Callithrix jacchus: one gene and its partner. The protein of the gene in region 1 purifies or fractionates together with the protein of each later gene. This does not show direct contact. Links are inferred from orthologs where the notes say so. Each region holds a gene or a part of one and is shown on either strand. Other genes may lie near its edges.

The links.
Region 2: the proteins of TRPC4AP (region 1) and CUL4B purify together in Homo sapiens (affinity purification with mass spectrometry; 4 studies listed by BioGRID and IntAct, counting the BioPlex papers as one, with this or other methods). This does not show direct contact. The link is inferred for Callithrix jacchus from reciprocal best matches to the Homo sapiens genes TRPC4AP and CUL4B.

Annotation. Positions count from the first base shown.
Region 1 is NC_133506.1:4,219,883-4,224,213, forward strand, and holds the start of TRPC4AP (short transient receptor potential channel 4-associated protein), read left to right. Parts: upstream 1-1,452; 5' UTR 1,453-1,795; coding exon 1,796-2,245; intron 2,246-4,331. UniProt on the Homo sapiens protein: Substrate-recognition component of a DCX (DDB1-CUL4-X-box) E3 ubiquitin-protein ligase complex required for cell cycle control.
Region 2 is NC_133524.1:116,417,111-116,420,923, reverse strand, and holds part of CUL4B (cullin-4B), read left to right. Parts: intron 1-153; coding exon 154-258; intron 259-754; coding exon 755-865; intron 866-1,321; coding exon 1,322-1,407; coding exon of another isoform or gene 1,408-1,413; intron 1,414-2,071; coding exon 2,072-2,134; intron 2,135-2,509; coding exon 2,510-2,617; intron 2,618-3,605; coding exon 3,606-3,719; intron 3,720-3,813.

The DNA of each region.
Region 1 (4,331 bases):
TTATCTTGTGGCTTGCCAGTTATCACCATTTGTTGAAAAGGATGTCATTTCCCCACTTTATGTTTTTGTTTGCTTTGTGGAAGATCAGTTGGCTAAAAGTATTTGGCTTTATTTCTGTGTTCTCTATTTTGTTCCATTAATCTATGTGCCTATTTTTATACCAGTACCATGTTGTTTGGGTGACTATGGCCTTATAGTATAGTTTGAAGTCAGGTAATGTGATGCCTCCAGATTTATTCTTATTTATTTATTTATTTATTTATTGAGACAGAGTTTTGCTCTTGCTGCCCAGGGTGGAGTGCAATGGCGCGATCTCGGCTCATGGCAACCCTCCTGGGTTCAAGCGATTCTCCTGCCTCAGCCTCCCAAGTAGCTGTGATTACAGGCATGTGCCACCACATCCGGCTAATTTTTGTATTTTTAGTAGAGACGAGGTTTCTCCATATTGGTCAGGCTGGTCTCAAACTCCCAACCTCAGATGATCCACCTGCCTCAGCCTCCCAGTGCTGGGATTACAGGCACAAGCCACTGCGCTTGGCCTCAGATTTATTCTTTTTGCTTATTCTTGCTTTGGCTATGCAGGCTGTTTTTTGGTTCCATATGAATTTTAGAATTTTTTCTTTCTAGTTCTATAAAGAAGGATGGTGAGACCACTCCTTTTAGATGGGGCGTGAGGATGGTAACCAGAGTGCCAGTTCACCTGGGAGAGTCCCTTTTATGCCTACTGTCCAGATGTAATTATTTATTGTGTCTTTTCATTCTTTAAAGTGTTTGGTCTGAGCAATTATTTACAGCCATCTTAGTTGAGTCACAATCTTCACCATTCCCTCTTACATCACACTTAGCTCCCCCCCCCCACTTTTTTTTTTTTTTTATTTGAGACGGAGTCTCGCTCTGTCTGGAGTGCAGTGGTTGGCTCACTGCAACCTCTGCCTCCCGGATTCTTGCAATTCTCCTGCCTCAACCTCCGGAGCAACCGGGACTACAGGTGCACGCCGCCACGCCAGGCTAATTTTTTGTATTTTAGTAGAGACGGGATTTCCCCTTGTTGCCCAGGCTGGTCTCGAACTCCTGAGCTCAGGCAATCCACCCACCTCGGCCTCCCAAAGTGCTGGGATTACAGGCGTGAGCCACCGCGCCTGGCCCTCTTTCATTTTTATGGCAAGCCCCTTGCTAGAAAGGGAAAAATTGTGTGTGCATTGGGTGCAAGGAGTCAGAGCCATCTTGCCACAGAAGTTAGCTTAAAGAATGAATATGTGGGCTCATGGTAGAGACAACAGGCTATCTGGTGGATAGAAAGTAGGACAGGGTTTCCCTTTGACAGAGAATGTGATGTCACAACTTACTAAACCCTTTGCCTTCCATCATTTAATTTCACAACAACCTATCCAGTTACACAACTTATCCAGTTTGAGTCTGTGCATTTCTTTCTGCTGTTTTCCCCTGTGACCTGCATTTCGTGATAAAGAGTTCTAGGCCGTTCTGCTCACCGCTGTATCCCAGACACCCCACCTTTCCCCAGACATGGTTCAGTGTCGGGTGCAAAGAAAGCCCCAGGAACTACTGATTGACTGATCAGGATCCCAGGACCTATAGCTGGAGTGACCTGATGAGGACACTGAGGGGCAGGAGCAGAGTGCGATGACTTGGTCGAGGTCCGCGGCGAGTCACAGGCAGAGAGAAGCAGGCCAGAATCAGATTCGAGGGCCTGACTCCTGACCTGAAGCCCAGGATCATTTCTTAGCCAGCTGCCTGCATCCTCCCCAAACAGAAGGGGAGAAATGGGAGAGTGCGCATGCAGGGACTGATCTCAGACCTCGGGAGATTCAGCCTGAATGCTGGGCCCGGGGGCCAGAGAAACCGGAGGTACCGGAAAGACCTTATCTTTTTTCCCACCGGCCCCGCTGCCGCGCAGGACTACATTTCCCAGCAGCCCCCACGACGCGCACTGTTCGTGCCACGCGGCTTGCGCCTCCGCCGACGGCCCGCTGGGGGCGCTGCGGCGACCCCTCCGCCGCCCCGTAGAAATCTCCTGGGCCCCGAGGCCGCTTGCTTCCTGTTTGTCGGACGAGGAGACATGGCGGCGGCGCCGGCAGTGGCAGGGTCCGGAGCCGGCCGAGGCAGACGGTCGGCAGCCACAGTAGCGGCTTGGGGCGGATGGGGCGGCCGGCCGCGGCCCGGGAACATTCTGTTGCAGCTGCGGCAGGGCCAGCTGACCGGCCGGGGTCTGGTCCGGGCAGTGCAGGTACGAGGCTGGCCCAGGAGGGGCGGGGCGGGGCGGACCAGGCGGGAGCTGGCCAGGGACCGGGAAAGAGGCCTTTCCAGGCCGCCGCTGGACAGGCCAGACCCCCCTTGGCTGGCCGCAAGGCCTCCCTGTGAGCTGCCCGGACGCTCTCAGCTGCAGCGGGGCCGTGGAAAGCAGCTGGCTTGATGTCCCTTGTCAGTAGCCGAGCGGGGCTGGGCTGCTGTGGGCACTGATGGCGTGTACGAACCCTGGGCCCGGTTTCTGGATCCTCCCTCCCTTGCGCCACGTCTGCATGTCTGGGAGACCCTGGCGAGTTTGTTTTAGTCTCTATGGGCCTCGAGTTTCTCCCGTGTATTGGGCGTGGGGGAGGGGGTCATCATTGCAGCCCCCAGACGGTTCCCAAGCGTTATCATAAATGTCATTTTCTCAGGCCTTTCCTTGACACTCTCTCTTCCTCCTTTCTAAAGTAGGTCCCCGTTGTTATTCTGTCACAGCCGCGCATTGGTTTCGTTTACGTTACTTTCTTAGTCTATAATTTCATATTTCTTTGTTGTCTGCCTTTTTCTCGCCTGTCTCCCACATTAGGCTGACTTCCAGCGGGTGCAGAGACTGGATCTGGTTTGCCAATGTAGAGCGTCATGGTTAAGAGGGACTCTGGAGTCAGGCCTGGGTTCAAAGCCCTGCTCCTCTCTCTTGGTTGGGCAGGTTACCTTTCTGTGCCTTAGTTTCCTCACTTGTAAGATGAAGATGAGAATTAGTAACCAACCTTTTAAGATTGTTGTGGAGATCAAAGGGGGCAATTGTGTAAAGCATTAGTGCATTTCTGGCTGAAAGTGGTTGGTTAATATTAAGTATCTGATTTATAACAGGTGCCCAACATATGGTGATTATTATTTTTGAGTGAGTGAAGGACACTGCTTTAGGGTAAAGCAGAATTAGTAAGACCTAGTCTCCTCCTTCTTTCACCCTCCCCCACCTCAAACCTTGCTAACACACCTGTAAAACATTAGCTTTATTTAAAAGACAGCTTTTGCATCAAGGAAGTTTGAAGGATACTCAAGAAACTATAAAGTGGTTGGTGGGAGTGAGGTGGGAATTGGGCTAAAGGGAAAGAGAATGGGAGTGAGACTTTTCACAGTATAACTTTGTATTTAAATTTAACTTGCATATCACTTTCTCAAATGATAAAAGGATAGAATAAAATAAAGGCTAGGTGGTCTGTGTGTATGGAGGATGGTGGATGAAAGGCGCAGTTCTGAGTGAGAAATGTTTTCCTGGGCATCAGACAACCTTTTTAGCAGCCTTTTTCCCCCTTTGTGTTCTTCTCTCCGTGACTTAAGATCCTGTAATCCCAGCACTTTGGGAGTCTGAGGCAGGCAGATCGCTTGAGTCCAGGAATTCTGGACCATCCTGGGCAACATGGCAAAATCCTGTCTCTACAAAAAATTAGCTGGGTTTGGTGATGCGTGCCTATGGGAGGCTGAGGTGGGAGGATTACCTGAGCCTGGGAGGCAGTAGTTGACGGAGTGAGACCCTGTCTCAAAAAAAAAAAAAAAAATCCTGTAACTACTTGATCTCTCCTTCTTAAGCTAAGGTACCTTATTGAGCTGGGTGTGTAGATAGAGACAGGCAGAAAGAGGACTAACTTTTAGTGAGGACTTAGATTAAGTATGGTGCAAGGCATAGGGTATCTTTAATCCTCAAGCTTTTGAGTTATCTATCAAGACTCACTTCTTAACATGGATGAGGAAACTGAGGCTCAGAAAGGTTAGGTGATGTGTTCCTAAACACCCATCCTGATAATCTGTGTTCTGAGAGTAATAGGGAGCCACAAAAGTTCTTGAGCCTGATGAGTGAGGCAATTTAGGCAACTTAATTTGTTTCCAGTGCTGAGTGACTTCGAATGGGAGGAGCCTAGAAAAGCTTACCAGAGGCTGGGAGCTGTGGCTCACACCTACAATCCCAGCACTTTGGAAGGCCTAGGTGGTGGATCATCTGAGGTCAGGAGTTCAAGACCAGCCTGACAAACATGGTGAAATCCCGTCTCTACTAAAAATACAAAAATTAGCTGGTTGTAGTGGCATGC
Region 2 (3,813 bases), on another chromosome or scaffold:
GTCATTTGATCTCCCTGACTTTGGAGACTTTAAAAAGTGCATATAAGTTTCTGAAGTATTGAAAAACTGAGTGTATGATATTCTTTGGGTATAGTGCCCAGTATTTCATGTATTCCCCTGGTTATTAAACAACAAACTTCTTTCCCATTTTAGCTAAGTATGTAGATTCAAAGCTTCGTGCGGGCAACAAAGAAGCTACAGATGAAGAACTTGAGAAAATGTTGGATAAAATTATGATCATATTTAGATTTATCTATGGTAAGTATTTACTAATGTTTTAATATTTTTCTTTTAAAATAGCACTCAACAGAGAAGCTAGCACGTATATTCAACCTGGAGGGAATATTTATTTGGGAATTACAGATTTAAAATTGTTTTTAATTCTTTGGGGGGATACTTGAGGAATGTTACCTAATTGTCCTATGCTTTGACTCTTCTAGTATGAAGTGCCTTAGTTTGTGCTACTTGGTTTAATCTCTCCAATATTTGCACCAAAGCTACCAGTCCACAAAAGCTTTTCTGAAGAAAAATTAATGCAATAAAGACAGTTAAATGCAAAAAAGTTTTACAATAAAAACTTTGAAATGTCTGACACTAAAATGCATCTTTACTGTTACTTGCATTTAACAAACTTAGATAAAATGTGTAAAGTAAAATAACTTGGAATAATGGTGTGATTTATTAAAGCACTTTGAAGCAGTTTTGTCAGAACTTTTTATTGAAATATTATAAATTTTGCATGTTTTTTACATAGGGAAGGATGTTTTTGAGGCCTTCTATAAGAAAGATTTAGCTAAGCGCCTGTTGGTTGGGAAGAGTGCATCTGTAGATGCTGAAAAATCAATGCTGTCCAAACTTAAACATGGTAGGTTTCTCATTCTTCCCATTCCTTTTCTTTGATTTTTGAAGGAGAATGTTACCCTTTTACTCTTTCAATTAGTTTCCTCTTGTGTCAATCATGTCTATGTATATATGATGAAAACATAAATTGAGCAAGCTCCTGAGGTTTCCAACTTACTGTACATATATCCAGAGCTGTCGTGTTTTTGAAGATAAAACCTTGTTCTTGGTTTTATTATTTGTATAAAAATTTCCCATTTATTTTATACCTAAATAGTAGATAAGGTTACTACAGGATTAAAGAGTTTGACTCTGAATTAATGGGGCATACACTTTGGGGTAAGGATTTCTTTTTATTCTTATGAATAGTTACAGATCATACTTCATACTAAAATAAGTTTTGTATTTCATGTTTACCATTTTAAACCTCTTTTGTTTTTACCATTTTAAAATATTATACATGTACAAACACCTTTAATAGAATGCGGAGCTGCTTTCACCAGCAAACTTGAAGGAATGTTTAAAGACATGGAACTTTCTAAAGACATCATGATTCAGTTCAAACAGGTAAAAGTGAGTTAAACTCTTACTTAGTTCCTCAAACTTAGTTATATTTAGTTATCTGCTCGCCGTGATTTCTACAGAAGAGGATAAATAGAAACATGTTTGTTGTAATTACTTCATGGCAACTGAGGTGATATTCACAGTAGAAAAAAATCATCAATGAAATAGAAGTATATTTGACCTACTTTAGGATTTATTTTTAACAAACACCCAGAATAACACAAAAATAAAAATAAAATGAGTTGAACTGAGGTCAGTACAAGAAAAGCTATAGGTAGATAGTGGGAACAGGGCTTTCCCCAGCATGTTACCATTTGGTGATTTGCATGTTCAGAGCTTGCAATGGGGAGAGGAGAAGTGATAATGTAGCTGTATAAAGTCTTTGGGGACATTGGGAATAGAAAGCTAGATCCACAGTTTTGAAGATGTAGGTAGAAAGTAGTTTTGAAATATTGAAGAACATAGGTGATAGTGATGGCAAATTAAATTTTCCTCTTTTGGGGTTTTAATAGTGACTTCTGTACCCCACAGTGTTGCTAAGTTGGAAAGTGGAAGTGAAAGTATTAAGAAAAAAATCAGGGCCAGTAAGATTATAGATCCTATAGTAGCTACAGAATAGGGCTTACCTGCTTTGCCCTTTTCCCCTCTTCTTCCTTCCCTACTCCAGGTCTCTCCCTGCAGACAGGCAGTGGAGCAAGCGAAAAACTGGAGACTTGGGCTGACTGGTGGGGTGAGGAATGGGGGTTGCTGCAAGGTGTTTAAGCCACACAGGGGTATTTAAAGGTGGGGACTGCAGGTGTTATTGGGGAAAATAATGGAGAAGAGATCCTATAACAGCCCAGCTGTATGTGAAAAATTATTTAAGTTGACTGCCTATAATGAGATAATGTGAGCCTTGTATGTCTTTGTATCAGTGTTAACCTCTATACTTGCCTAGTGCATTTTGTGTAGGCTTCATTTAAAGTCCTCTTAATAGTTGCGTTTTATTTTAAGGATGGCCATTATTTGCATGTAATTTCAAAACAAGGAACTTCTTAACTAGGTTATTATGATAGGAAATGTATACAGTTTTAACATCTCAGTGTGTGTGTTGATCTTCTTTTAGTATATGCAGAATCAGAATGTTCCGGGTAATATTGAGTTAACTGTGAATATCCTGACAATGGGCTATTGGCCAACATATGTGCCTATGGAAGTTCATTTACCACCAGAGGTAAGAGTTACTGTTCAGAACCTTAGTTATAGGCATAGAAGTCATAGCACTTCCATTTTGCTTATCATTTAAAAGTAGATATTTAGAAAAAATCAGAGATCCAGGGTCTCGTTGTATTGCTCAGGCTGGTGTTGAACTCCTGGGCTTAAGTTATCTCCCCTGCCTAGGCCTTTTAAAGTGCTGGGATTACAGGTATGAGCCACCAGGCCTGGCATAGATACTTTTTAAAAAGTGTATGTCAGTAAACACATCAGCACCAAATACCAACTGCTTTAATGTTTTACTTTTGTACTTCTAAGTCCAGTTAAGCACATAGCTGACAATACCAAATTTCTGAGTGCAGGGTCAGTTTCCCTGGCTCTTCTTCCATCTTTCCAGATTATATTCCTCATTCTACCTAGCTATTAAGAATTCTTGTGCATATTTCACCCATAGGTGGGATTGCTGAATGGTGGGTGCTTGATTAAATCTGTCCTGACTCCCAGGAAACTGTCTAGCCCAGGACTGAAGCCCATAAAAGGGATTAAGGCTAGACAGATAGATGTTGAGAATCCTCCATGGAGATGATTATGAAAGCCAGGGAGGAGATCTCTCTCAAAGAGGAAGAAAAAATGGCAGCGGCAGAATTTTTAAAAAGGCTCACATTTGGCAGATGGTAGAAAGAGGAACCTGTGAAGGAAACCAATGCAGAAGCAACAGTCAGATAAAGGAACCAGCATAGTGCAGAGGCACAAAATCTGCTGCAGGTGAATGTTTCAAAAAGGGATGATTAAACGGTAGAGAGAGAGCAAAGGGTATAAATCCTAATAAATCCCATTTGATTTGGTGGTTGGGAGATCATTATTTGTCATTAAAGTAATGGTGGACCTACTGGATATAGTCTTAAAATTTTCCAGAAATTATGTCACATGATATAAGTATAAAAGGTGATAAATGTGGTATTGGATACTGAGCTTAAGTAAAACCTTATTTTATTTACTTTATTTAGATGGTAAAACTTCAGGAGATTTTCAAGACATTTTACCTAGGCAAACATAGTGGCAGGAAACTTCAGTGGCAGTCAACCCTAGGACACTGTGTGCTAAAAGCAGAATTTAAAGAGGTAAGTAGATGTTCCCAAAGCTTTCAGTTTTCATCTTTATCTTTAATATTTAGGTCATCCTTCTTACCTGAAGGTTTAAGCTATTGTTTTATAA